3 linked regions of the Cricetulus griseus genome follow. The protein of the gene in region 1 interacts with the protein of each later gene in a pairwise test. Links are inferred from orthologs where the notes say so. Each region holds a gene or a part of one and is shown on either strand. Other genes may lie near its edges. The genes, in order: Ythdf1, Prrc2b and Dhx30.

Region 1 (9,908 bases):
CCTTCAAACACACTCTGGAAATACCCCAGGGCTGCTGGAAAAGCCTGCATTGGCCAGCACAAGCTTGGGTTTCCATTCTCTTGTAAATGTTCCAGGCAAGAAGTCCTTCTGTAGTGGTGGCTCCACAGAGTAGTCTCAGCTACCAGTAAGGAGTGGTTATCAGAGACACAGCTGAATAAATTAAGTCACACAAGCAAACTCAGAAGTCTAACCAGACTGCTGGGTAGTAGGTACTACATCTAAGATTTCTAATCAAAGCCTGGATACAACGGGACCACACAAGGGAGGCAAACACATCTTCCTGGCAAAGCCAGAGCTTACTGAAAATACAACTTGGAACTCTAAGGTTTCTTCTTCCTCATAACTTGAAAATTAGATGAACAAAATAGATACTCCAAAGAATTAAAGAGAATTTAAATGGCCATGGCTGTTATCCCTAGGTTATTTAGAAACAGCAAAGTATAATAAAACCATAAATCTGTTCTAGAATTAAAAAAAAAAAATCAATCCAACTTTAATTACCTTAACTGACAAGGATGGGGGAAAGGGACAAACAGACAGACAGACAGCCACAACAATTCTGAATGATTAGAACACTTCCTCTGCCCTTTTTTCTGAGACCATTTAAACAATAAGGTAAGTGGGCATCAAAGTGACTGACACTGGAAGGAGACAGTCTCTTCCAAGCCCAGAAGACCATCCATCGAGGAGGGAGCACACTGAGACGCATGCCCTTCATTGAGTCAAATCAATTATGTGAAAGGAAGGCATGGAGGGCAAGGCTGAAAAGTGACCAAGTGACTAGGACTCCTGGGAACTGCTCTGTCAGTCAGCACTACCACATTTGTTTCAGGAGATGGCCACAGACAGAGGAATGTCAGAGAAAAACACTATACACTGACTCAGTCAGGCACTTTCTTGGTCTTCAAGGCTGAGCCTTCTGAGACTGTAATGTCTGGCTGATACAGCAGAGACAGCAGTTTCTGACAAGGAATTTCTGTATCTGTTTAAGCAATTTACTAAGGACCCAAGGTATCCTTTCATTGCCCCTCTGGGAAGCTGTAGTGGTAGCAAACCCCTCTTTACGGGGTACTACCACTGGACCTTTTAAGGAAACTTATGTACGCACAACCACAAAAATCCAAGCCAGATACAGGATTGATAGCCAGGCACATATGTGCCAATCCTGAGCCTACCAGAACTGCCTAGACATGGCAGCAACCCAAGTATCAAGTTTCTCCCAGATCTTCACAAACAACAGAGGCTGCATATGCCCTAACAAGGCACAGCATTATTTAACTTAACTCTGGGCTACAGGTGGAAAAAAAAGAAAAAGAAAAAAGAAAACACAAAGTCGAATTAAAAAACAAAACAAAACAAAAAAAACTTGGGAAACTGGGGAGGCTCAATTTTCAAGATAAGCTAAGAGCTTCCAAGGCCAGCAGTTCCTCACAAATGAGTATAGGAGGCACCAACTTCACTGTGGCACTGTGGCCACATGAAACAACACCAGTGACAGTGTCAGTCAAGCATTCTGAACAATCTCTGGGTACTAGGATGTACTACAGAAAAGCAAAGAAGCAGATGGCCTTCTGCCCCACATGAAGAAACAAGCAACACAAAGGCAGAAGGCACCACAAGATGACTGAAGGCCCCAGCTTCTCCACACAGGTAAACAGCCACCAGGCTGGTCTTCAGCTGCTTCTTGCTCCCTGTGCTGCTACTCTCCCTGTGTCTTAACAACACTGGGCTCTTCTACAAAGTCTGCCATCAGGAGCACACATTTACTCTAAGTGATGTGTTGTTAAGTGCTTTGCTAAAAGTACACATCTGAACACACAGACATGAAGGAGGCACTTCAAAGCTATTCCCTGGGCATGCTTGCTCCTTGAAGAACATCCCTTTTCATGGCTTCCACAAGAGAAGATTGCAGTGGCATGCAATTGACAGCAGGGCAGGATCCTCCCAAATATTCCATAAGCCCCTACTTTATAAAAAATGAATTAAGGCAACACTAGTTCCTTGTTTTGGTTAATATTTAGTACATACCACTACTAAGAAAACCAGGAAATACAATATTCAAAAGAATAGGTTTGTGTAACTTCTTGTTCTTGCCATGGCCAACAAGCCCATGACTAAAGCCAAGTCAGTTCTGCAACTCTATATACTGCCCATCAGGGGCAACCATGCAGCCCTATAGGTTAAGACCCCAGGTTCTTCAGACCCTGAGGCTTCTGAGATGCTAAAAGTGAGAAGGAAGATGGAGAAGAGTTGTAAAATGTTCTAAGATGACCTAGAAGGGGCAGATAAGCAAAAACAAGAACAAAACAAAACAGGCAGGTAATCCATTTCCTTCCAATACAAGGCCCAGGCAAAACCTTGCTTTACTCTAACTATGCAGCATGCATTTAAAAGTAGCAGTCACTATGGCTAAACCTAAAGTTCGAATTGCCTATGGCTTTTTGTTTGTTGTGAGACAGGTCCCACTACATAGTCCTGTCTGGCCTTGAACTCAAAGATCCAACTGCCTCTACCTTTGAGTACTGGGATTAAAAGTGTATACCATCATGCCCAGCTTGCCTATGGCTTTTAACCATTGCAATTAAATTGCCAGAAGGCTTCTTGCAGACAATTTTTGTGGGAAGCTAATCAGGGAATCTAGTGGGTGGAGTGGGATGTGGAATATAACTGGTGATCCTATAGAGCAGGAACAGCCAAAACAATGCTTTGGTACAAAATGCCCATGATCCCAGTAGGTTAGGGGAAAGAGAGGACATGAAAGCGGACATGCAGGGACACGCACATGAGTGCACATGCATGCATGCATGCACGCGCGCGCGCGCACACGCACACACACACACACACACACACACACACACACTGGGGAAATGTGAAGCTGCTATGATCAACATATACTGCATGTACATATGAAACTTTCAAAAAATACAAAAATGTTTTTTGTCTGGGTCTAGAGAGATGACTCAGAAGTTGAGACTTGCTGCTCTTACAAAAGACTACAGTTCAGTTCCCAGCACCCATGTAGGCAGTTCACAACAATGTGTCGACCTCTTCTAGATTCCAAGGTTACCTGTGCATGTACACACTCCCATGCCCAAGCCCATACTCACACTTAAAAAATAACCATTGGCTGGGGAGATGGCTCAGTTTAAAATGACTGCTGCCCAGTAGGGCATTGGTAGCACACAACTTTAATCCCAGCACTTGGGAGGCAGAGGCAGGTGGATCTCTGAGTTCCAGGCCAGTCTGAACAAATGGAGTTCCAGGCCAGTCTATTGAACAAATAGAGTTCCAGGACAGGATCCAAAGCTACACAGAGAAACCCTGTCTCAAAAACACAAACAAAACAAAACAAGACTGCTACCCAAGCTTTAGGACCAGAGTTTGAGTCCCCGTAAACCCATGTAAATGCCAGGTGAGTATGGTGGCCAACTTGTAAAGACAGGAGGTTCCCAAAGCAATTGAAACTCTAGGTTTCAGAGACTCTGCATCACTGAATGAGGTAGAAAGGTAACAGGAGATGAGATCCCTGACATTAAATCAGGTCTGTACATGCATTCCATCCTCCACTCACCCCCAACCTTGATAGACACATACCTGTGCCAACACACATATGCATACACATGAAAAGTGAAGGGAAGAGGTGTTTCATGGTGCCAAAGGGAAGCAATACTGAATTACCTGAGAACATAGGCCCTTGAAGCTTGCTGGACCATGTAGGTACATACTCTCTAATGCCAATCTCCCAAAAAGCCTAAGGGCAGTTCTAACATTTTTTTCATGTAAAAGGAAACTAAGGTTCAAGGAAGGCAAGTCACCTGATGCACAGAAAAGGGGTCTGCTGCACTGTCCAGTGCTTAGCTACTCTCCTAGATACTAACTTCAAACCCCCAGAGACAAAATGAACATGGCACAAGGCTTCAGGGAACCACACACTCCTTTAAACCATAAAAAAGCACTCTATACCCACACATGCTGAGGGTCAACTAGAAGTCTGCCAGTACCCAATCTCAGCGGGGTGTTACTCTTCAGGGAGAAAACTATCTTCATATCCCCCCACCCCCAGGCCCCAGGCCCAGCAGGAAGACCTGCTCAAATCAACTCTTCAAGACCACTCTATCATTTTTAATACTTCCTAGTATGCCTCTTTCCTGCTTAGGGTAGAAAAACAGAAATATGATAGTAAAGGTGTTACAAACAAAATTACTTAAAAACAACAACAAGCTAATAAAATGAACTCACCGGATTGGACTGTCCAGAAAGGTAGGGCTCAAAGTCATTGTCATGAACTGTGTCCTTCTGATGTAAAGAACCATTTTGTACTAGAACAAGAAGTTGCAAAATATTATCTCCAGGCTTTAAAAAATTACTTTTAAGCATGGGAACCTTAGTAAAGGCTATTTTCATCAAATTTTAGTAGATACAATCTTACTTCAAAATGGGCACACTCTCTAGAGCTGATGTTTACACGCCTAATTAGACTGGCATTGCACAACTTGCCATAAATTAAATTTTTTTATAAAGACATAATCATAATTTGATCAGGTCATTTTGCTGCACATAAAAATAAATGGCAAGAAACTTAAAGCCAGGCTTTGAGGGTCTTGAGATGCTCCGCCCCCACCCCACCCTAGAGGCGGGGCCCGAATCCAGGGCCCCATATGCCTGCAAGTGCTGTATCACAGACGAACCCCCTCGCCACACCCCAGCCAAGGAAATCGACAGGGTCTCAGAAGATCTATGCCAGGCAAACGGAGGACACATGCTCTAAGGGCCTAGTTATGCATGGAGATCTGAAGAGGGCAGGATGCTCGGTTGGAAAGGGCTGTAACCCAAGCTCACTATCATCTGACTCTCCACTTACTTTCCACTGTTACAGTGCACAGCCAGTAAAGGAAAGGAAAGGAATGGTAAATAAAGTGTTGGGCCTTTTCCAACCTTAAAACACGATGAACCATATTTGGTTACATCCAAGTAACAACAACATGCAGTGGTTAAAAAGTCTTCCGGGTAAAAGTTTTAGTGTCACTTTCCAAGACTGAGTTTTGGGAGTTTATTACGAAGCCAGAATTATCACTGATGACCGTAAACTTATAATGACTGCAACTTAGGGTGGGGGGCAGAGCCTCCGAGGCCCACAGGCTTGCTAGAGCCATCCACTACCTAGCAACAGAGAACCATCATTCAGCCCCCGTAGCCCCTGCGAGGATGTCTTAGCACCATTTCCTTCCCCGCCAGGTAACTGTTCTTGCAGAGAGAAGATCGGAGGGATGAACTACTCCGGGTACGCCTTTATTTTCTAGCCCCCCCCCCAATCTGTCAAACATCCCGGAAACGGAAAGTTTCATCTCCTCCGAACTGACGGAAGAAACTAGTAAGTTTCGGGTTCCAGGCAAGGCTGATGGACTTTCTCTCGTCCACACGGACTGACGCTGCCCCGTTCTCCTCCAAAGTCGACTTCCCGGAACTCTCCTCACCTTTATTATCTTGTCCTTTTGTTCTCTGCGTCGCCGCAGGTCAGGATATGCGGGTGGACACCACCCAGCCCGGGAAAGGAAACACAAAAGTTACTATCCGGAGAACGCTCCCCGGAGGACGAGACGACCCCGGCCCGGCCTCCACACCCCCCGTACTCTGACCACGGCCAGGCCCAGCGGACCCCGCCGTCGGAACCATAACTCCGGCCGGGCCTGGTTTCCCGGTCCTCGGCCCGGAGGGAGACCCAAGCCCTGACCGGTCTCTCGGTTCCCGGCCCGGACCTCGCACCCCCAGCCCAGCCTCCAGGTCCCCTGCGCGGCCCCGACCGCAACCTCTGTCCACGGCCTGGCCGTAGGGCATTGGTAGCACACAACTTTAATCCCAGCACTTGGGAGGCAGAGGCAGGTGGGGAATGAGATGGGGTCCTAAATCCTGCAGGGCCACGTGGGAATAGATCTGCTGAGCTGGTGATGGTGGATACCCCAGGGACTCCAGCCCTGTGTGAGCTTGATCTACTATGGATCGGAGTAGGCCACCATCTCCTAGGCTGATCTCCCATACTTCAGCTCTCAGTGAACCTCCTTTCCCTTCCTTTGCCTCAGTTTCCACATCTCTGAAATGGTAAAAGCCCCATGTCTTTTTCAAAGGGCATTGGGGTTCTGTGAAGCGTGGTACTCCCAGCGCATTCTAAAGTCAAGTAGCAGTGGTAAAGCTGCCTGTGGGCTCTGCGTGCCGCCAGGGCTCTGCGGTGGCACGTGAGTAGAGGGAGATACACATACAGGACTGAGGCCCAGATCTCCCCTCCCATACAGGTACCTCCTTAGGCCCCTGCTGGCAGCCAGGCACTGTGGAGCAGAGTCCCAGGATGATTTCCCCTGCACCTGAGAAGGGAGGCCTTCTCACAGGGTCTCACTCTAGTTCAGGCTAGCATAGAACTTGCTATGTAGTCCAGGTTGACCTTAAATTCATAGCAACCTTCCTGCTTTAGCCCCATGAGTGTTAGAGGAGAAGGTGGGTGAATGGGGCCACTAAGCTCTACCTGTCCAGGGGCACAAGAGTTTTGCCAGCGGTGTGCAAGCAGTCCTCCTCGATTGCCCTGCGGCAATCTGGGCCTGAGAGAGGAGTGCCAGGATGTGACCGGTGTTCCCGTTAGATTCTGAACCCGATCCTGTCACCTAAGAGGGAAAGGCTTGACGCCCCCTTTGTGCTCCAAATTCGTGGGGAAAGCTCAGTTCGTTTTTCATTTCTGTAAGAGTCCCCAACAAAGAACTCACCCCACTAGACATTCACTTTTAGGCAGGCTCCTTGCTCAGTGAACCTGTTTCCACACACAGACTCCTCCTATTACCCCACAGCAGATCTCACATTCATTAAAAAGGTTTATTTGAGGGCTGGATTGGTTCCCGACACCCATATGGTGGGTCACAATTGCCTGTAACTCCAGTCCCAGGGGTTCAAAAACTCTCTTCTGGATTCGATGAGCACATGGTTCACATACAGACAAGCAGGCACACATACATATAAAATAAAACAAATCTTTCAAATGTAAGTTTTAAAAGACATATTAACTTTTATTTTCTGCATATGAGTGTTTTGACTGCTTGTATGTAAATGCACCATGTGTTTGTGCCTGATGCTCAGGGAAGCCAGAAGAGGGTGCCAGGTGCCCTGGAACTGGAGTTACAGATGGTTCTGTCCCGCCCCCCAAGTGTGTGCTGAGCATTGAACCTGGATCCTCTGAAAGAGCAGCAAGTGCTCTTGAGCCCTGAGCCATCTCTCCAGCCCCTTTAAGATATTTTTAAAATTTTATGTTTATGAGGGTTTTTTTTTTTTGCATGTATATGTGTGCACTATGTGCATGCCTGCAGAGGTCAGAAAAGCTGTCTTGACTTCCTGGAACTGGAGTAACAGGCACTCACGAGCCCTCATGTGAGTGCTGGGAACCATTGCTAGGCACCAACACCCAGATGCTCCTACCCATCCCTTCCAGGGAATGCTTTGTCCCTGACTTTTCTGTAGGAAATGTTCTAGCCTCTGTTACATGTCATCAGTAGAAGGGCACAAGAAGGAGGCACCTGAGGGTGAGTCACTGGGTTGAAGGGCACATCTTTTGGTCATTTTGTAGATTGTTAGATGTCCCCCAAGGAGGCCATGTTGAAGGCTAGGAGAGCTGAAGGATGGAGACCCTGTATTCAAATGATACCTGGCTGGAACAAGCCTTTGTTGTGTGCTGGGTTTAGCTCACTCAAAAACTGGCCCTAGGAGGGCCAGTGGTGAAGACACCTGTCCATGCAGGCAGCGCACAGATACTCAAATGCTGAAGATCCCCCACCCCTTCTTTATGAACATCCTCTTGGGAGTGAACACCCTCCCTGCAGCAGACCTCCTTCTGAATCCCCTGTCCTTCCAAACCTCCAGGGGGTGTCTAGTTTGTCTTCCAGGAAATCAGCTTGTGGTGTTGGGGCTCCTTCTGTCCTCTGCCCCTCCTGTGAATCACAGCTCCTCTCTCTAGATGTCCATTAGTCACTATCCAAAAGTATTTTAGCTGAGCCCCTACTTCATTCCTGGGATATACAGAGTGCCAGGGTACCAGTGGTCCCTGTCCTGATATCCTGGTAGTTTCCTGTGGAGGGATGCTTGTGCAGTCCTGCTCAGTCTTATTGTACACTGACTACTCACGAGAAGTTCACAGGCATGGGAACAGAAAATGAGTCCAATGCTTCAACCCAGACACAAAACGATGGTTTAACCAAGTCACCATAAATAATACCTGTGATTTGGTAGGCAGCCAGGACAGGATGGAATGAGGAGAGAGTATGTCCCTGGATTGGTTTCTAGAGTGTCCCTTAACTAGAATCTAGGTGAGTGGGTGCTGACTGGCTCAGGGTGCTCTGGAACAGCACGAAACAGAACATAGACATGTACCCCAAAATCAGCTCCCTATAGCAGGGGCCACTCTTGCATCCATGGATGATGCAGGTGTTTGAGTCAGCATGTGACAGACGCATCATGCAACTTGCCTCTCAAAAGCTCTGTGGGCCTGGACCAGAAAGCAAACCTCCAAGAAGTTAGAGCAAATGCCAGGGCCAGACAATCTGAACTTCACCTTACTCATGAACCTTGGATCCTTTCCAACCCTTGTCTCTTTTACCCTCTACACAGTACCCAAGGACCAGCAGCCTAACTTGGACCAGAAACCTGCCATTCGCTGAGGGTTCCATGGCCTATTGACTGCCTCTGTGTTTCCAGGAATTGTAGCTAGCATCTGCTACTATGGTTGTGCTTATTTGTCCCCCAGGACAGTACCAGGTGGCCTAGGATCCAGTGACCTCCAGGATATTAGCTTCAAGGCTGAGGAATAACAAGCAGGCTTTGTGGCACTCTAGGATCATGTAAGCCTCAGGCCTTGACCTTAAGTCATGAAACAGCACAGGCTGCTGTAAGAGGCATCTTCATTCAACTCATGTGGCAATCAAGTCTGGCTCTCAGCCAGGGCAAGATGGAAAACCAGGAACTATGGTTCAAAAAGCAAAAAAGGCTTCTTCCTCTTGCCCTCACCAGCTTCCTCTAGACCTGTCATGATGTATTCTTGTTTGATTTTTGTTTGTTTGTTTTTCAACTGACTTGATATTTAATGCCATGCTTCCTCGAGTAAAATGGTGCTGAGCCTCAGTCACCTAAGCCAGTCTGCAACATCCATACATGGACCTTGAGTATACTGTGTTCACACCAAGGCTCCTGTTGGGACAAGGGGTGGCACAGGTTTCTGCTTCAAAAACTGATTCTGTGGGAGACGGAGGCTGGACTGGGCTGAGTCCCCAAGTCCTGCCCAGGCCTAATCATCTCAGCAGGTGGCACCTAACAGTTTCATAGACTGTCTGGTAAGTGGCTACAGCAGCATTTTAGGTAAGAATAACCTGATATGAAAGGCGTCCTGGGACCCACAAGGATTTGGAGGCCCTCTTGGAGATATACAGAGTTGGCGTCATAGTATTCAAGTAATGACGGTGGTGAGAAATCTGGGATGCACAGAGCCCGATGGGGTGGGCGAGGGTCAACATGGTAAACAGGGTGAGCAGGACTAAGCCTGGAGAGGGGCTTGGGGCCCGGTCAGCAAAACGAGTATATGAAGATGCACGTGGCAGCTGGAGGAGTGCTGAGCACGGCTGAAGCCATTAACCTGGAACGAGGGCCTGGCCAGACAAACAACCATCACCTCTCCCTAGGGAATGAGAGTGACCTGTCCAGGAATGGGAAGACATGTCTCCTTCATGCCCCCATGATGCCCAACAACCCCCCAGTCTGGTAACCACATGCTGATATCCATTCAGGGAGTCCTTCTCGGTCCTAAGCTTGTGCCTTTGGGGAAACAAGATGCATGTTTCCTCACTCTGCCAAGCTGTGAGCAAAGG
Region 2 (9,888 bases), about 140 Mb from region 1:
ATCAGGCTTGCACTGTCTCATGGCATGCACTTTTACCTGCTGAGCCATCTGGCCATCCATGTTGTTTGTTTTTAAGATAGGGTCAAGCTCTGCAATTCAGACTACACTGAAATTCTTGACCCTCCTGTCTCAGCCTCAGGAAGTTCTGAAACACACTACAATATGGAATGAGCCTTGGGAGCATGCTAAATAAGGTAGGCCAGAAATAAAATAATCAACTGTGGGTTATCCTGCTTATGCAAGGTACCCAAAATGGCCAAACCCAGACACAAAGCAGGCTGGCGGCTGCTGACACTGGGAGGAAAAGGGAGTGTCTAATGCATGGCCTTTCGGTTCAGGAGGATGATCTACCTGGAGTTGGTGAGTAGTGAGAGTGTGCCCCTCCCTGTGACTAGACCTCATGCCACTGAACTGGACACTTACAAACAAGGAATTTTTAGCACAATAAAAATTGCTTAGGGGCTGGAGAGATGGTTGTGTGTAAAGCACTTGCTGCACAAGCATGAAAACTAGAGTTCAAATACCTAGCACCCCAGGAAAGCCAGGGAAGCATGACGGCCACCTGCAGTACAGTACACACGGAGGTAGGTCGGGGAAGCAGACTAGCCAGAGCAGTGAGTTCTGGGTGCGAGTGACCATGCCTCGGAACATACAATGGAGAGTGACCTGGGAAGACACCAAACTCAATCTCAACCCTCCACAAGCATGCACATTCTTGCATATATGCAGACACACTGTACTCACACACAAAGAAATAAATTGTTTTTAAAACTTTTGTTTACAAATCGTAAAAAGTGTGATAAGGAAAAGCAGCACTGTAATCTTGGTACATGGAAATGGAAGCAGTTTTGCCAATTCAAGGCCCACTTGGGTTACAGAGCCAAGCAAGGTGGCCCACACCCTTAATCACGGCACTCTCAGGAGGCAGAAACAGGTGAATCTCTGTGAGGTTTGAGGGGCGTTCTGTTGTTTTGGTTTTTGATTTTCAAGACAGGGCTTCTCTGTGTAACCTTGGCTGTCCTGGAACTCACTTTGTAGACCAGGCTGGGAATAAAGGCATGCAGCACCATGCTGGGGCTTGGATCTCATCTCTGCGAGTTTGAGGCCAGCCTGGCCTACAAAATGTATCCCAGGCCTCATCTGAGTGCTACAAATAGAAACTAAAAAAGAAACCACTACCCATTCACCCCACTCCCTGGGGTGGTAGCTCACACCTTTAATCCATACCTTCCCCCAAAAAAGAAATGAGACGTTGAGATGCTCCCCCAAAATCTCTCTTCAGAGAGCCTTCCTGCCATACCTACAGAACAATTCGGGGTTTGAGGCAGCCTTGTCTACAATCCAGCCTGTGATGACAACCTTGAACCAGGGACTGGAGAGATGGGGAAGCATTAAGATCAGTTACTTTCTTGCAAAGGATTGAGTTTGGCTTGTAGCACCCACATCAGGCTGCTAACAATCACCTATAATTTCAGTTTCAGGGCATGCAACACTCTTCTGAACTCTTCAAGCACTACAGTCCCGTGCACATACCCACATAGATAAACATAATTAAAAATAATCAAAATAAATCTTAGGAAATCAAAAGACTCTGATCTGGAGAGAGCCACCCAGAACCTGGAGGTTCAAGACAGAAGAGAAAGGTCGGAAGTACTGAAAACTCCTGAAGAAAACCTCGCACCCTTTGGCCTCAGAAATCCCATTACAGGGAGCTAATCAGAGATAAGAAAAGGCAGGAATGTTTTGTTTGATGGGAAGGAGGGTAAGTAACAACAACCAAATTGCCTAACAAACTGTCAGATTTAATAAATCACTGCGGATGCATTAAATACAACCTTCACAGGAAGAACCAAGCTGCCAACCATGCAGTGTGTAAAGATGCCAACATATACATGTTAGTTCTATAGTCTAGGGGGTGAGACTATGTGGTCTCTATTTGTATTTTCTTATTAATCCTTTTCAGTGTTTGCTTATTTTTTCAGGGATTTCACTTTAATCATAGGGGTTTGGAAACGTTATTTTAAAGGGCCTTTCACATTGGCAGGGAAATAAGTGACCATGGAGTATCTGGCACATGACGGGAAAATTGAAAATGCAATCAACTCAGCTTCTCCCAGCACCAAAGAGGAAGAAGCCAGTGGTCTGGAAAGGAGGGATAAAGGACCTAGGCTGGCTGCAGAGAGAGGCACAGAGGCAAACACTCCAGACAATAGCCACTCAGGTGGACTTTACCCTGCACAACATGAGACGCTTCACACACCAGCATCCTACAGCACTGCTGAGGTTTGGGAAATCACGTTTCTCAGGTATCACAGGATTTAAAAAAAAAAAAAAAAAAAAAAAGGTGCAGTAAGAACAAAGCCCAAGCAAGGCTCCTGATTCCAGTCACCAAGGCAAAAACACCCTCCTGGCACACAGATCTCCCACGTGACCAATGGTGTCAACAGCAGCATCACCTGCGGTGATGCCCAGGTCTGCCAGCTCCCAGGTGAGGAGGCCAAAGTGCCCCTGTGGATCCTAAAGGCTCATCGTAAACAATGTCCCTGCCCCAGAAAGCTTCCAGCACCATGGGCCATGTGTGACCCCATCCAAATGCTCTCCAGTCTATGCAAACCCAAATAATAGTAACACTAATACACACTGAGGGCCAAGAGATGACTCCGTAGTCAGGGTGACTGACACCAACCCCGACAACCAGTTTGAACCCGAGGACCCACATGATCCAAAGAGAGAACCAACTCCCACAGGCTGCCCCACTACAGGAGTACCATGGGACACGAAAAGAGACATACAATAAATATAATCAACTAAAAAAAAAAAATGGCCTTTAGACTCACTAAGCCCTACCTTTGTACACAATATTCATTTCAAAACCAAAAATAACAAGCTCACAGTACAAAACCCATCAGATGTCTGCTGGCCATCGTCTTTCTTTTTTTAAGAGAAAAATGTTTTAAGATCTGCTATGGACAGGCCCTATTAATACCTGCTGGCCTGTAACACAATCCGAACAGTTGACAGCAGAGGAGCCTCCTTATGGAATTTTAGAAATACATGCACAGGTCTTCCCAGTCTATTCTGGTTTGAAATAGAAACACCGAATGATCAATCTTAAATGGTAGAACAATGGGAGACGTAACCAACCCACAGCCACTAGCAACCGGAGTTGGTACTTTGTGTTAGGGGATAAAAAAGCTTTAAAGTACAGTAAAATAATCTTTCAGAGAAAAAAATGACGTGTGTGTGTGTGTGTGTGTGTGTGTGTGTGTGTGCACGCGCGCGCGCGCGCGCATGGATGGAGGGCAGTTAAGAGGCCAAACAAAAAAATCCCTCAGCAAAGCCCAAGGCTCAGAAGCCAGTTCTGACCGGCCATTCCAGAAACTCCACTCTCCCAGGCTTTTGCCTCTAAGTGTCCTGGGATTTCCCCTCACCCATTCCAGGCTAGTGAACAGTGAAGACGACTAGGGCAGGCCCCACCAGGGTGCCACACAAACAGCGCAGAGAATGTTAGAGCTCCCCAAGGAATTAAAATCTTGGGGGCAGGGAGAGTAGACTTCGTCTTCCCTAACCTGCCAGCCACCAGCAAACTAGGACCAGACCAGTGAAGGAGGCAGGACAACCAAATGGCTGGAGAATAAAGGGCCTTGAGGGGGCACGGAAGTTCCTTAAAACTCAGTAAAACGATTATGCCAAATGAAGTAAGACAATCCCCCACCCCCTCCCGGATGCAAGTCACTGTTTACCCAAGTGGGGACCAACAAATTACTCAGGGTTAGTCCAAGAGGCAAACTAGGCCTCAGTCATCACTCACAGTAAGACCAATATTGGTCGTGTCCGCCCAGCCCCGCCTCCCCCTGCTTTGTTATCCTCTGCCCGTCTATGATCTCCCTTTTACCTCAGAATCTGGCTGAGCTCCTTGCCTCTTCTAAACTAGCCCCGTGCTTTTGGGAACTCGGGTAACAAAGAGAATATCAAAACATTTGCTGGTCACAGAATTTGGGGCGGGGCCGGGGTCACAATTCTGTAAGCCACAACAGGAGGAAGAAAGTCAGGAATTAAAAGGGACCAGCAAAACCAAAGAATATACAAGCCTACCTACCACCTTCCCACGGATGGAAACGCTCTGCTGTTGAATCTTACCTGCGGCTCCCACGAGATACACGAGCAGTCGTAATTATTCCCATTTTATAGATGCAAGAGCTGGGGCTCAGAGACTTGACTAAAGTAACTCAAGAGTAACAGGGCTCCAAAGGCACACTTGCCTGAACAAGCTGAAGGCTCACAAACAATTACTTGCCCATCCCCAAGGAGGGCAGTTACCTTCCAAAGACAAGACTCCCGAGTATCCTGCCAGTTCTGTCCACTCAATACAGCTCCAGCCCGCTGAAACCCAGCTACCCACTAGAAAGCCCCCTGCACTAGAGAGCCACATGCCTTCCCACGCTCATTCCCCAGAGGCCCACACTGACCAAGCTCCTACAATGTGGGAATTTTGCTGGGTTTTCTCGGTGGAGCCCAGGCTGGCCTGGGACTCCCAGCAGTCCGACATCAACCAGTGTTTTGAACCCCTGCCCCAATGTCGCCGCTTCAAGTCAGCACCTGTGGCATGCTCCAGCATGGATGACACCACAAGTGGCCAACCTTGTATCCTAGGTTGACAACGCGGAGTTACCATAGAGCACCGACTGCATACCAAGTCGTGTCTCTCTGCCAATGAAAGCTGAGGAGTCCCCTCGGTTTGGAGGTGGCAGCAGATATCCATCCCACTCTACAGCCTGTACCCCGCAGGTCCCAGCTTGCACCACGACGGTGCAGACATCACCATACAATACAAGCCCCTGCAGTTGTTCTGCCAAGAAAAAACGCCAAGGCTTCAAATGGACAGACTGAACGCCCAAGGGAGATGTATAATGCAAACAACACACCGAAAATATACGCTAACCTTTTCAGGAAAGAAAACCGCAGATGAAATTTAACTATACTGCAAAAGACGGGCTTTTATAAACGTTTCTCTCAGGCAGCCATTTAGCAAATGACACACTCCGGAGAGCATCGGCGCCCCCCTTCTCCCACTTCCTTCAAGCTCACCATTGCCGGGGGGTGGGGTGGGGTGGGGGGGACACAACGACACCTATTCTTGCCTAACAGTGGGCTTCGTCTGCCCATGATATTTACAAAGAAGAAAGGAAAGCAGCAGCGTCCACTTTTGTGCAGGTAGAGCCTCTCCAGAGAGGCCCACCACCTCAGCAGGACTGCATTTCTCTCTTAAAAGGTAGGCGAAGAAAAAAAACAAAAAACCATCAATCCGACAGGCCCCGAGCAGCGACATCCTGTTTATTATTAAACGTTTTTAGCAGCGGCTCCGGGTGCCGTGAAAACACCACCCCGCTTCCCGCAGCCGAACCCACCCGAGCCGGGGCGGCGCTCGGCCTGCGGTTCCGGGCGGCCTCGGGGTCTCGCGTCCCCCGCCCCGGCCTCCGAGGCCGCTGTCCCCAGACGCTGGAGAGCCCTCCGGCTCGATCCCGACGGCGATCCGATCCCGGCCCCGCCCGGCCCGCCGGCCTCCCGCCTGGCCGCGAGACACAACAATGGCGAGCTGGAGAGCGCCGACCAGGCCGCCCAGGCCGCAGGCCCCGCCAGCCGCAGAGCTCGGCAGTGGAGACAAAGCGCAGCCCCGGCCCCGGCCCACCTGGTCTGCGTCCGCGAGCGACGGGCCCGGCGATGGCGGTCGGGCGGCGGCCGGGCGCGGGGGCGGCGGATGGCGGCGGATTGCGCGGCGGCGGCGGCAGCGGCGGCGGCGGGGCTCGGCGCTCTGCGCTCCTGCCTCCTCCTCCCGCTCCTCGGCGCTCGCTGGAGCCTCGGCGCTGTGGCTCGCCGCCGCCTCCCGCCCGCGCTCGGCTCCCCGCCCCCCGCCGCCGCGCCGCCCCGCCTCCGCGCCGCCCCCGCCCGCCGCCCGCACGGTGGCCCGCGCAGCGCCCCCTGCCGCGTCGCCCCTGTCCCGGGAGGGAGGGTGCGGGAAGTAGGCTGGGCCGCGGTGCAGACAGCGAGCGGCTGCGGAAGAGAGGACCTCAATGGAGAGGGAGCTCGGGGACGCGGTGGCGAGGGACCTTGACGGAGAAGGGGCTTAGGTGGAGAGGAGGCTAGGTGGAGAAGGTGCCTAAATGAGAGAGACCTTGGAGGAAAGCGGGCCTAGGTGCAGAAGAGGCCTAGGTGAAGGATCTTGAGGGAAAAAGGCCTAGGTGGAGAGAGACCTTAATGGAGAAGGGACCTGGGTGGAAAGGAGCGGCAGTGAAGAGGACGGCTCAAATGGAGAACAAGTGGAGAAGGGACTGGGAGGAGAGCGGGTCCCAGCAGAGAGGGATCTTCATGGAGAGGGAGGGGATCCTGGTGGAGAGAGACCTCAATGGAGAGTGGGTTGAGGTAGATACCACCCCCAAGACGGAGAGGACCTCGATGGAGTGGGGAAGGGGGTCCTGAGAGAGGCCTGGGGGCACACTGGGAGGAGACCCCAGGGAGAGCTCTAGGGTGACCATGGGAAGGGGGGTGAGGAGGGCGCCCGCTCTAAAACGCAGGGGACACAGACCTGAGGCCTGGAGGGCAAGCAGGAGGGAGGGCTCAGAAAAGGGATTCGGCCTGGATCCTGCCCCCTGCACCCCCAGAGCGATAGAACCTCCTGCAGCCCGACAGCTCAGACTGTGTTAGGCGTCTGACGGATCAGGGAGAAGGTAGAAGGAGCACATTGTCGTTTCCATTCCATAACAAGTGCACAGTATAGACACTTCACCCCTTTTGTTTAAGATGTCGTAAACCACCCCTCTTGGGTGTTACCTTGTATTTGTGTGAATGCAAAACAAAAGGTCTGCGAGAAAGAATGGCTCCCCTCGTGGTTATTTGTGTGGTGCGAGGTGGGAGAGCTCTCCCGATTTAATTCCAGATACCCTGGCAATTAAAAATAAAATTCAAGAAACAAAAACAATAATGAAAAAGAATAGTTGGGGATATAGCTCAGTTGTAGAATTCATGGCTATTATGCAGGAGGCCGTGGGTTTGGTTACTGAAAAAAAAAAAAAAAAAAAAAAAGTAAGACCACAGACATACTTGGGCATTTTTCTGAACAGGCTAAATCCCAGCTCTGCTGTCATGCCCTATGTTAGTGGACTGGGTTTGTGTGATCTAATGCTAACTCCAGAGCACTTATTATTGCTCCGATTAACCGATAAGAAAAAAGAGGGACCAAGAGGGTACACAGAAGCTGTTCAACTGGGCCCCAGAAAGATTAGCCCATTTCAGTGGAACTAGGAATGCCAGGCCCAGTGCCCAGGGAGTGAGATTCTGGGGAGTTTTACAGCGTTTCTTATGCCTTCCCAATTTCACTGCTTTGTATCATGATCACTTTTATGTTATCTCCTCTTTAAAATAAACATGTCTATAATCCCAGCACTGGAGAAGCTGAAACAGGAGGACTTCTATTCATTTGAGACCAGACTGGGTTTCATTGTGAGTCTCAGGACAGCTCAGGCTACAAAGCAAGACCCTATTTCAAAAATAAGTAAGTAAAGCAGGGTGTGGTGGTGCAGACATGTATGGAATCCCAGCACTGAGGAGAGGGGAGCAATGGGATCAGAAATTCAAAGTCATCCTATGATGAGATGGGAGACAGAGACAGAAACTTCTGGAACAGATACCCTGGGATGTGCAACAGAGAACAAGGTACAAGGCAAGGATAGAAGACACCTAACGTTACTCCTACCCTCTGACTTCTGCATGTGTATGGCTCACACACTTTTACAGAGAAACACTTGGATACGCACACTGGCCACATGTGGCCACTGAGCATTTGATATGTGGCCAGGATGATGACTTTTCAATTTTTTCATTTTTGGCTATTTGCGACAGGGTCTCTCTATAGAGCCCCAACTGTCCTGAAACTTTTCTATGTAGACCAGACTGGCTTTGAACTCATAGAGAATGGCCTGCTTCTTTCTTCCGAGTGCTGGTGAATGGTATTTATTATTTAGTGTGTTAAATAAAATATACAGTTGTTCCACAGTGGGGTAATAATGGGTCTAGGGCTTCTTAAAAACACCAAAATCCTTCCAGGACAGCCTCCAAAGCCACAGAGAAACCCTGTCTCGAAAAACCAAACCAAACAAACAAAAAAACAAAAACAAAAAAACACCAAAATCCAAAGATACTTCAGTCTCCTGTATAAAATGTCAAGATAAATTTACCTGTGACTTACACATAGCCTCCTTTATCCTCACCACTTTCAGATCACTCTTACCACACACTACACCTCAAGAGTGATGTAAATAGTTGCTCTGCCTTGTTGCCTGGGGAATAATGGCAGGAATAAAAGTTTGTTCATGCCTACCATGGATGCAAATTTTTCTCTCTCCCTTCCTTCCTTCCTTCCTTTCTTTCTTTCTTTCTTTCTTTCTTTCTTTCTTTCTTGAAATAGGGTCTCACTTCGTAGTCCAGGCTGACCTTGAACACAGCAATCCTCCTGCCTCAGGCTCCCCAGTGTTGAGATTACAGATGTGAGCCAGCCACCATGCCTAGCTTCTCTGAAGGCTTTTCATCCTCAGTGGGTTGAATCGGAGAGCGTGGGACCTGTGGATACATACAGCCAACTGTATAGCTAAAATTCATTTTATATCATGGACTCTTAGCCAATCTTACAAAGATCCTGTGATTATATTGAGGCACCTAAACAATCCAGGATCCTTAACTGAATCGTATCTGACCACTGCCAGTGGGGGTCGCTTTATTGTGCCTGCTACAGTCTGCCTTTCTTCTCTGCCTAATGGGAAGAGCAGCAGTGCCTGTCTTATGGCTGCTTGGTGAGGGTTAATGAGAGAATCCAGGGCTGGGGGTGTCTGTAGCTCAGTTGGTCTAGCATACACAAAGCCCTAGGTTTGGTTCTCAGCACTGAAAGAGCTACACACCTGTAACCCCAGGGCTTGGGAGGTGCGAGAGGAACATCAGGAATCCATGTCATCGGGTAACCTAGACCGCCTCTGACTACAGACCGCTACAGTGGTTACCTAGAAAGCACTGATTCACCAAGTCAGGCAGGTCTGCCAGCTGTTGACAGATGTGATGCTTTAAAAGTCCTATCTGTTGGGCCAAGGATATGGCTCAGTTGGTAAAGTGCCTGCCTCCTTTTTTTTAAGATTTTATTTATTTATTATGTATACAACATTCTGCTTCCGTGTATATCTGCACACCAGAAGAGGGCATCTCATAATGGATGGTTGTGAGCCACCATGTGGTTGCTGGGAATTGAACTCAGGCCTGCCTCTTTTTTTGTTTGTTTGTTTGTTTTTCAAGACAGGGTTTCTCTGTGTAGCTTTGGAACCTGTCCTGGAGCTTGCTCTGGAGACCAGGCTGGTCTTGAACTCACAGAGATCCTCCTGCCTCTGCCTCCCGAGTGCTGGGATTAAAGGTGTGCGCCACCAACGCCCGGCCAAGTGCCTGCCTCTTAAGAGAACTTGAATTCGGTTTCCTAGCAGCCATGTAAAAAAGCTGATGGCATATCTGTAACCCAGCACTGGGAGGGGAGAGAGAAGGCTCTATGGATGGAATTCTTCAGCCAGCCAGCCAGCCAGCCAGCCAGCCAACTGAGTAAAAGGTATTTGATATAGACCCCTGGCCTCCACAGCACATGCAGGCATGGTACTCACACCCCACCCCCTCACACACACAGACTCACACCATCGTATTTGTTAGTGCTCCACTCTCAGAAAAAAATTGAATTGTTAGTTGAGATCACTATGTGGAAGCTTCACATTCTCCAAAACTCTAGCTTGTGCTTGAAATGTCACCTGTTATCATTGCCAATACTAGCCATTGCTTCCTTTGAAATGAGTCTACTCAGATCTGTGT
Region 3 (9,376 bases), on another chromosome or scaffold:
TGCTTAAAATCACCCCATGAGATAAAATATGACCTTCAGGGAAATATATGCCTGCCATTTTCTTAGCTTTGTGTGTCTACCATGTGGAGAGCTCACTAGCTCTCTCTCTCCAAACTCAGCCCAAAGGTTCCCTCCCTCAGGGCATTGTCCCACTACAATTTCATCTACTAAAGAACCAGTGCTTAGGTCACAAAAGGTACCAGTGCTACCACTTGGCTGTTGCGTGCATCAGCTTCCCAACACTGCAGCTCCTTCCCAAACAGCTTCTCCCATGCCAGGAGTGTGGGGCTTGTGCATATGAAGTGAAACTGCAGACTCCTCCACATCCTGCAATGAGCCCCAGGCCTCTGCCCTGCAGAGCCCACACCCAACCTCATATTTCACCAGCTGCATGCAACCTTTTCTCTTTGTTTTGATTGTCTGAAACAGCCTTGATATGTAGCCCAGGCCAGCCTTGATCTCATGATAATCTATCTGCCTGGCCTCCCAAGTACTGGGATAACTCATGGACTCCTCATATTCTCCAAGTTGACAGGTGTATCCTTTACCATCAGAGGCATCTAAGACATGGTTCCCCAAAACCAGATTCACAAGGTACATCAGAGAACTAGAACTGCCACAGACACAGCTCAGTGAGAGGGTGGCCACCAAAAATGAGTAATGCTCTATAGTCAGTCACTAAACCTTGGGAAGAAGGAAGGAGAAGGAGGAAGGAAGAGGAGGAGGAGAACTTCAAGAAATTTGCTAGGCTTAATGACACCCACTAATAATCCTACCATTTGAGACAAGGCTGAGTTGGAAGCCAACCTGAGCTGCATAGCAGGTACCAGGCCAGGCTAGAGTGAGGCCTGGTTGGCAGTCAGGCTGGGGATGTACGTGAAGCTCTGGGTTTGGTCCCTAGCACTGCATGGTGGCTCGTGCACATAGGAGATGGATGCACAAAGTCCAGAAACTCATGGTTATCCTCAGCATTGTAATAAGTACCAGGCCAGCCTGGGATACACCTGACCCTGTCTCAAATTTAAAAAACAGAAGAGGGTGTGCTTGCTACCAAGTCACATGACATAAGTTTGATTTCCCGGAATCAATACAGTAAAAGAAAAGAACAGACTCCTGTGTCCCCTCCTCTGAGCTCCACGTGTATACTGTGGTGCACAGACAAAAAGTAAATATTTAAAAGAAAAAAACATGAGGGGTGACAACCTGCCAGCTGCAGGCCACACTGCCATCACCTTTACTTCCTCCAATTTCATTCAGATTATTCACTTGGCCACCAAGGTTAGCAGCATCTCTGGGCACCAAGCCGATCTTATAAGCCAAGCACCGCTTTCACACCCCTGCCTGTGAGGTCTCACTCTGGTTTCACCTAGGCTTTGGCCAAGCGTTACTAAGGTCAAGCTCACAGGTACAGTCCCTGCAGACACTCTGGGGCAGTAGGCATGGAAACAGATACATGTAAGGATGAGACCAAGGCCTGGTGTGTGTCTTCCTCCCTAGAAAAGTGGACTAGTCTGTCACAGACAAGGGACTCACCTTCAGTTTCTTGCAAGCCAAGGCCGCTGCCTTATTCTCAGCCTCAGCTTTGCGGCGCCCTTTGGCAACAAAGGTCATGGGACAGGGCCAGAGCAGAGTGAGTGTAGCCAGCTTGGTCTTGGTACCCACAGTATGGAACTGCATGAGGTTCTACATGGAAGGCAAATGAGGAAGTTACAAAGGCCGGGAAGGAGCAGACGGGTGGTCTACGCACCTTCAGGAACCCGACAGGTGGGTGGTCTACGCACCTTCAGGGACCCACAGGCAGAGCTCACAGCTACAGCACCAAACGAAAACGACCATCACACCAGACTAGGCACAACCAGAGTTCTTTATTTTGGCTTCCCCCCTTTTCCCTCCTGCCTCATGCCATTCACCCATCAATGACCCTGTGTAGCCCTAGCTCTGAGCTTGCTTCTCATTTCTGTAGTAGAAGTCGCGGTTCACACGATGCTGCTACCTGTCTTCCTCAGCCACATGCGGTTAGCACCTTCAGGAAAGTCTGACAGTAAAAAGGCCTTATACCTCTACCTCAGTCCTCTGAGACCCCTTGATGTGCATCAATGATGACATTTAAACACAATTCAGGCACCCCACTTCTATTCTTTCAGGTCCCTAACCCACCACCTGGTCATAGAGTTGGGTCTTCCAGTCAGCAGTCCCAGCCTACACCCTGTGTGGCTATTTTCCTGTCCCTGCTGCTTTGCCTTCCATTCGTCAAGGATCCCGTGTCCTAGCTGGCCTAGGTGGGAGCCAAGACAGGCAAGCTGAGCCCTGCCCTACAGCTGAGGGTTCCTTCCTGCTGAGCCTTCAGAAGACAGGCACAAGCAAGTAGGTGGCTCATGCACACACTTCTGGGAGAGCCAACTCACCTTAGCTGTGGAGGACGATGTCGCGATCTGAATCACTTTGGCCAGAAGGTTCTTGGGAAGTGGAAATTGGGTCAGAGCTCTAATAGCACTGTCATCATCTGTCATTTCAAAGGAACCCCCCCTAAGAGGACAAATAGTTTAGGTGAAAAAGTCTGCTGTCTTCCTAGGCCACTTTCTCTGGGACCTCAAGGCTGGGACACAGTGCTGGTGGACAGAAAGGCAGGGGCAGGAGGTGACGGTCAGGAGTGACTGTCATATTGCAGAAGCCCACAGTGCCCTGCTTGCCCCCAAAAAGTGAGCTGAACGACTGCTGACAAGGCGGGGCCCAAGTGTGAGCTGGAAAGAGGGACCAGGCGTCGTCTGCACGAGCTCAGCCACAGCCCAAGACAGTAGCTACCAGTGTACTACCCCATCCAACCCCAGCCCACCCGTATGTGGGGGCTCAGAGAAGACGTGACCAGGGTCCCTGCATCCCTCTGCCACAGCAGTACCTTGAGTCCCTGAGTGGGTTGTGAGAGTCTTGCTGGGTCATGGACAGAAACTCCGTCACATCAATGGTCCCCTCTTCAAGCTCTTCCTCCTCATCTTCCTCTTCTTCTCGGCCTAAGGATCGGGATAGGCCTCCAGGACCCCCTGGCCGAATGTTCTCAGGATTCAGCTGCCGCCATGAAGTTGGAGGCATGGTGGGTTCTGGACGCCACCAGTTGTCAGCTGGAGACCCAAAACGATCAGCTAGCACTCGGTATTTGGCGGCATCAAACAGCTCATTCCGTGGACCCAGCAGACCCCAGCCCTGTCCAGTAGAGAAAACTGTGAGGAGCAAACCATCACCACACCTAGGTGAGCCTCTTCTGTGTCTGCTATACACACCAGTCCTGGCCAGATCCCAACAATGAAAGCTCACAGAGAAGGATCTTGTGATCTAGACCAGTCTTAACTGTGCAGAGACCATCTTAAGAAACAATAATAGAGCCCGGGGTTGGTGGCGCACGCCTTTAATCCCAACACTCGGAGGCAGAGGCAGGCAGATCTCTGTGAGTTGGAGACCAACCTGGTCTACAAGAGCTAGTTCCAGGACAGCCTCCAAAGCCACAGAGAAACCCTGTCTCGGGGGGAAAAAAAAAAAAAAAAAAAACCAAAAAAACAAACAAAAAGAAACAATAATAGAAAGAAAGAGACTGACAGAGGGAAGGAAGAGAAGACTTAAAAATGCCTAGGTTTGCTAGATATGGTGTCTCCCAGGCCTAGGCAGGAGGATCACTTAAAGTTGTAGATGGCGGGCTGGAGAGATGACTCAGTGGTTAAGAGCACTGTCTGCTCTTCCAGAGGTCTGGAGTTCAATTCCCAGCAACCACATGGTGGCTCACAGCCATCTATAATGAGATCTGGTGCCCTCTTCTGGCCTGCAGGGATACACGCAGACAGAAAACTGTACATAAGTAAAGCTTGAAAAAAAAAAAGTTGCAGATGACCTGAACTGTAAGACTTCGTCTCAAACTAATAAAAATGTGAAATGAAAATAAGCTAGATAAGTGCACGCCTTTAATCCCAGCATTCAGGAGGCAGAGGCAGGTGAATCTCTGAGTTCAAGGCCAGTCTTCAGGACAGCCAGGGCTATACAAAGAAACCCTTTATAATTAATATTAAGTCTCTGAGTGGATTTTTGGGAAGTGGTTGGTAAAACAGACCTGATTGAGGCCCTGATGAAAAACTCCACCTACTTACACATGCAGGCAAGCAACACATGCAAAATAAATACCTTTTTTTTTTTTTTTTTAAATCAGTGGTTAATCCTAACACTGAGGCAATCAGGCAGCCAGCCTGGTCTACAATAGTGAATTACCAACCAGTCAAGGCTACACAGTGAGACCACATCTCAGAAAAACTTTTTTTTTTTTTTTTTAATTTTATAAGGCAAGGGCTGGGGAGCTAGTAAAGTGCTCGCCACACAAACACGAAGACCTAAATTCAATCCCCAACTCATGTAAAACACCAGGTGGTAGTGGTGAACTCTTTTAATACCAAGGTGGGGAGGCACAAAGAGTTGCATCATGGGACATGCTAGCCCACCAACCAGCACAGCCTAATCAGTGAGCCCCAGGTCACAGAGAGATCCCATCTCAAAAACCAATGTAGACAAGCCAGCTGTGGGAAGACACACCTTTAGTCTCAGCAGAGGCAAGTGTATCTCTGTGTTCAAGGCTTGCCTAGTCTATATAGGTAGCTCTAGGCCAGCAAAGCTACAAAATAAGACCTTGTCTCCAACAAGTAATGAACAAACAAAGACAATGTAGATAGACAACCTCTCGTCAACACACAGGCACATGTCCTCACAAACATACACACACACACACATACATAGAGCAAAGAAGAGGACTAGGAAGCAGGAAGGGCTCAGGAAAGTTCCATGACTCAACACTGCCTCAACATCTACCAAGATGTCCCTGGAACCAAAACCAGTGCAAGAGAGAGCTAGCGACAGCAGTCTCCGGGCCTGCAGGCCTTCAGTAGAGGTGGCTCACCTTGAAGAGCTGGCAGGCTGCTGCTGCCGCCTGCCGCTCAGCATCTATCTTCTTGCTGCCATAGCCTTCTACCTCCACACTCTTGGGCCACTTTATGTGCAGGGTGACTTTCTGGGAAGTGAAAAGAGAATAAAGAAGTGGGAACGATAGCCATGCCTGTAGCCGTAGCTCCACAGTAGTAGAGGCAAGAGAATCAGGTTACAAAGTAAATTGCAGGACCTGCATCAAAAACAAGCAAACAAGCCAGCTGTGGTGGCATGGTCCTTTATTCCCAGCACTAGAGAGGCAGACCCTGATCAGCTCTCTTGAGTTCAAGGCCAGCCTGGTCTACAGAGTGAGTTCCTAGATGGTTTCTACACAGAGAAACCCCTGCCTCAAAGCAAACAAACAACCAAAAAACCTTTATTCAGAATGGTTTGCCTGCATGCTTCTGTGGGATATAGGCTCTCTGACACTCTTGGAGCAGGGGTGTTCTCACCATCACCTCTTCCCTACATTCCTTGTTAGACAAGGGACCAAAAGCAGGGAGCACTACGGGGGCCTCTTAGACAAGATGAGCACTCCTTACCCCACCTGCTGTGGATTTCTGGTGGTTCTTCAGATCTAACTGTATTATGGAATTCTTTACTGACTGCTCACATTTAGAAACCCATTCTGGCGGGCAGAGCAGCGCACATCTGTAAGACTGTTTTTTTCAATGTGTGTGTAGAATACTTTCACTATCTGTAACCTGGAGGCAGGAGGACCAACAATCCAAGACCAGCTCCTGTCACACAGCAAGTTTGAAACCAGCCTAGGCTACGAAAGACCCTATCTCAAAGCAATGAAAAGCAAATGAACAGGGAGGGCTAGGTGGTGGCACACACCTTTAATCCCAGCATGCAGGAGGCAGAGGCAGGCAGATCTCTATGAGTTAAAGGTCAATTCCAGGACAGCCAAGGTAACACAAAGAAACCCTGTCTTGAAAAACCAAAACCAAATGAAAACAAAACGAACAAAAGCAAACAAGCAGGATACCTAAATTGGCCTCTTTGACAAAGAAAAAAGAGAAACAAAATCCAAACCTGAGAGAGAGAGAGAGAGAGAGAGAGAGAAGAGAGAGAGAGAGAGAGAGAGAGAGAGGCAGCCAGCGTCCTTTGAATCACACTAGGGACTAGGGACTCACTTAGCCACCAGCAGAGTTACCTTTTTCTTCGGTCCATTTGTGTGCACATAGACTAGCTTGTCTTTTGCATGTGAGATGCCAAGGGCTCTTCCAATCACGCTGTTGAGAAGGTTTTTGGGCTGTGGAAACTCTTTTAATAGGTCCCTAGAAGCTAAGAAAATAAGAGTAAAATAATTACAATTCCTTTTATTTTGCAACTCCACAAGATATATATCAAAGCCACTCTGGGCTAACGTTGACTCAGGACTGCAAAGCATTCAATGAAGTTAGGAGTCCTTGGGAATGGGCTAGATGGACAATAAACTCCATCAGTCTGATTTCTGAAAGGATGCTCAGAAAACAAAACAAAAAAACCTATCTTGCATGCATGCACATGAGAGATGAAGACCCTCCCAAAGCAGGTCACACTATTAGAAGGACAGGTCCTAAAGGGACTCTGGCTAGCTCCAGCATAGCGAGCATGGCTCTGGCAACCTTGCCCTTCTCCCCCATTCTCTCTGCCTTGCTGAGCCATTAGCTTTCATTCCTGAAGCTAGCCACAGAGGTCTATTCCCTAATTTGGCCACTTCCTCCTCCTAAGGCTGACCACCAACTGTTCCAGTTGTCAAGTATTGGTACTGATCTTGGTCTTGGAGATCCTAAGCTGACACTGATTCTTTCAGGCCCCATGTAGGTCAGTGATGAGATCCAGAATTTAAAGATTATGCCTCTACTCCCAAGTGTGCCTCAGCACTGGAGAAATCCTCCCTAAAGTCCAGTCTCTCAGCCAAGACAAAGGCAGGAGCCAACCCTTTCCTGCCCCCTGACGCCAAGGGGAAATGGAAGCATCAGACACCAGAAGGCCTCTCTCCTTCCCTTCACTTAAGTCTCCGCATTAACCTCAAAATACAAATAACACAAATGTCTCAGATGTCCCATCTAGCAGTAGCTCCTGCCAAACAGGGCTTAGTTGATCACACAGTGGCAACTCACAACAGCTCAAAACAAAATAAAGGGCCCATCGACATGCAGCATGAGAATCTTCAGGGGATGTACGTCCTTCTCGTTTGCCACCTACAGTCTCTGGCATTATGTTCAACCTATAACACCCCACAACAGAACTTAGTGGGTGTTCCATGTAGTATCATGTACTTGCTTTATCACAGCAGTGGACAAATTATTCCTCAGTGGGTACCTGACAATGCCAGCAATGTTCAGGTAGTATTTGTATTTAATTCTTTTGTCTTTTCAAACATTCATTCACTGCCCAGCAGTTGTTGCAAACTTTTAACCCCAGCACTTGGGAAGCAGAGGCAGGCAGATCCTGTGAGTTTTGGGACAGTCAGGGCTACACAGTGAGGCAATGTCTCAAAAACAATTCTTTTATTATCACTGTGTGAGAGAGTCCACCATTTGGAGGTCAGAGAACAACCCTTGCAAGCTTATTCTCTCCCTCCACTGTGATCAGGGGTTGGAACTGGGGTCTAACTACCAGAGCTGTATAGCAATCACTTTTACCTGCTGAGCCATCTCACCAGTGTTGTGTTTTGAAAATGCTGCTCCAAAATTTCTGATGTAAACTTAACTTGTTTGGGATATTTACCTGGGGCAGATAACTGTGTCAACTAGCACAATAGGGGTGTCCTACCTGGTGCAGTCTCCTAAATGCTATGTTATATATCATGTAAGAATCAAGCAGTTAATAAACAGCACCTAAGTAGACTCAAGGAGAGTTGGCCCCATCTTCCCTACTTTAAGTAACCCACTAGACCCACAGATGTGCACACGCCACAGGCCCCAGTTTTTCAGGTGGTTAAAGGCCAACTAGCTCACTCTATTTTTTTAATGTATGTATAAATGTCTTGTCTGCATGTAGACCTGTTGGCCACGTGTCTGCCTGATGCCTGTGGAGGTTAGAAGAGGGCATCGGATCCCCTGGGACTGGAGTTACAGGTGGTTGTGAGCTGGGTGGCTGCTGGGAACTGATCCTTTACCCTCTGCAAGAGCAACTAGTGCTCTTACCCCACCGAACCATGTCTCTAGCCCCTAGCTCGCTCTATCTTAATGGCCATAGACGTTCTTATCAGTTCCACTCTCTGCCCTAGTCAGGAGCCAAAGAGCCAAACTCTACCAAAGATTCTGTATTCCAGGTGTCTTGGGGCTAAATCCGACTGTGATGACAGAGCTAACCCTCAAATACCACCCAATCTGACAGAAGTAGGATATTCACGTGATTTCCCTACCCACCCAACCACGCGCCGGCATGCTGGGTTCTAGGTGGTCCTACGCCACACAAGGCTTTCTAACGCAGAGCAAGGACCCGCGGGGGTAAGAGGTTCAATCCACTTTCAAGACCGGCCTCTCCCCGCGCGCCTGGCTTGCCTTCGCTTGTCAAGGGCGCTTCAGCCCCATGTCCGCTACAAAGCCCTCACCGTTCACCGTGCTTCCGTCGCCCTCCCCAGGCTCGCTAGGGGCCACCTCTGATTCGACCTCGGAAGCCTCCTGAGTGCCATCGGGGCGGCCGAAGCTTGATGAGAAGCCACGCGAGAGTCCTTGTAGCCCGGCAGCGCGGGGATCGGGCGGCCGCAGGCGCGGAGAGACGCTGGCAGCCAGCGCCACGAGCCGCCTTGCGGACGCCATGGCGATCCCGCCGATCCCCGCGGCCCCAGAGTGCAACAGTGCCTCGGAGGGCTCAGCGGCCGGCAGGAGCGCCGAGCGCCCTCTGCTGGCCAGGGGGACTCAGTGCTGAGCTGAGCTGAGAGCAGCAGGGAGCTAGGATGCCGTCTGTCCGCACACCACAGCCCAGAATCAAACCACCGACGGGCATCGGGGTCTCAAGGAGACTTTAGATTTAGAAAATACTACTATGTATTTGCTCCACGTCCATCCAAGGAAATGACGCATGTTTCCTCTAGGTCCTACACATGGGAAATTCCTTACAGGCTGCTTTCTAACAACTGACTTGGATGTAGATGAGCCAACCTTATGGGTAGGACTCTGGTGGGCTGGGGATCAAACTAAATCTGAAGGCAGTGGCTATGGGCGGGGGGTGGGGGCCTCATGGGCGGGTGGGGGGTCTCATGGGCTGGGGTGGGGCCTCATGGCGGGTGGGTGGGGGGGGCGGTGGGGCCTCATGGGGGTCTCATGGCAGGGGTGGGGCTCTTATGGGCAGGGTGGGGCCTCATGGGCTGGGGCGGGGAGGGGGTGTCTCACGGGCTGGGGTAGGGGCCTCATGAGCAGGGGTAGGAGGCCTCACGGGGTCTCATGAGAGGGGCCTCATGGGCAAGGGTCTCATGAGGGGGGGG

The links.
Region 2: the proteins of Ythdf1 (region 1) and Prrc2b interact in a two-hybrid assay, tested with the Homo sapiens proteins (2 studies listed by BioGRID, with this or other methods). The link is inferred for Cricetulus griseus from reciprocal best matches to the Homo sapiens genes YTHDF1 and PRRC2B.
Region 3: the proteins of Ythdf1 (region 1) and Dhx30 interact in a two-hybrid assay, tested with the Homo sapiens proteins (2 studies listed by BioGRID, with this or other methods). The link is inferred for Cricetulus griseus from reciprocal best matches to the Homo sapiens genes YTHDF1 and DHX30.

What each region holds. Positions count from the first base shown.
Region 1 is NC_048599.1:982,377-992,284, reverse strand, and holds the start of Ythdf1 (YTH domain-containing family protein 1), read right to left. Parts: upstream 5,737-9,908; 5' UTR 5,496-5,736; intron 4,341-5,495; 5' UTR 4,261-4,340; intron 1-4,260.
Region 2 is NC_048599.1:143,882,758-143,892,645, reverse strand, and holds the start of Prrc2b (protein PRRC2B), read right to left. Parts: upstream 5,863-9,888; 5' UTR 5,690-5,862; intron 5,547-5,689; exon of another isoform or gene 5,409-5,546; intron 5,273-5,408; exon of another isoform or gene 5,127-5,272; intron 4,596-5,126; exon of another isoform or gene 3,896-4,595; intron 1-3,895.
Region 3 is NC_048597.1:217,551,336-217,560,711, forward strand, and holds the start of Dhx30 (ATP-dependent RNA helicase DHX30), read right to left. Parts: upstream 8,747-9,376; 5' UTR 8,712-8,746; coding exon 8,504-8,711; intron 6,244-8,503; coding exon 6,113-6,243; intron 5,039-6,112; coding exon 4,928-5,038; intron 3,199-4,927; coding exon 2,897-3,198; intron 2,527-2,896; coding exon 2,406-2,526; intron 1,684-2,405; coding exon 1,534-1,683; intron 1-1,533.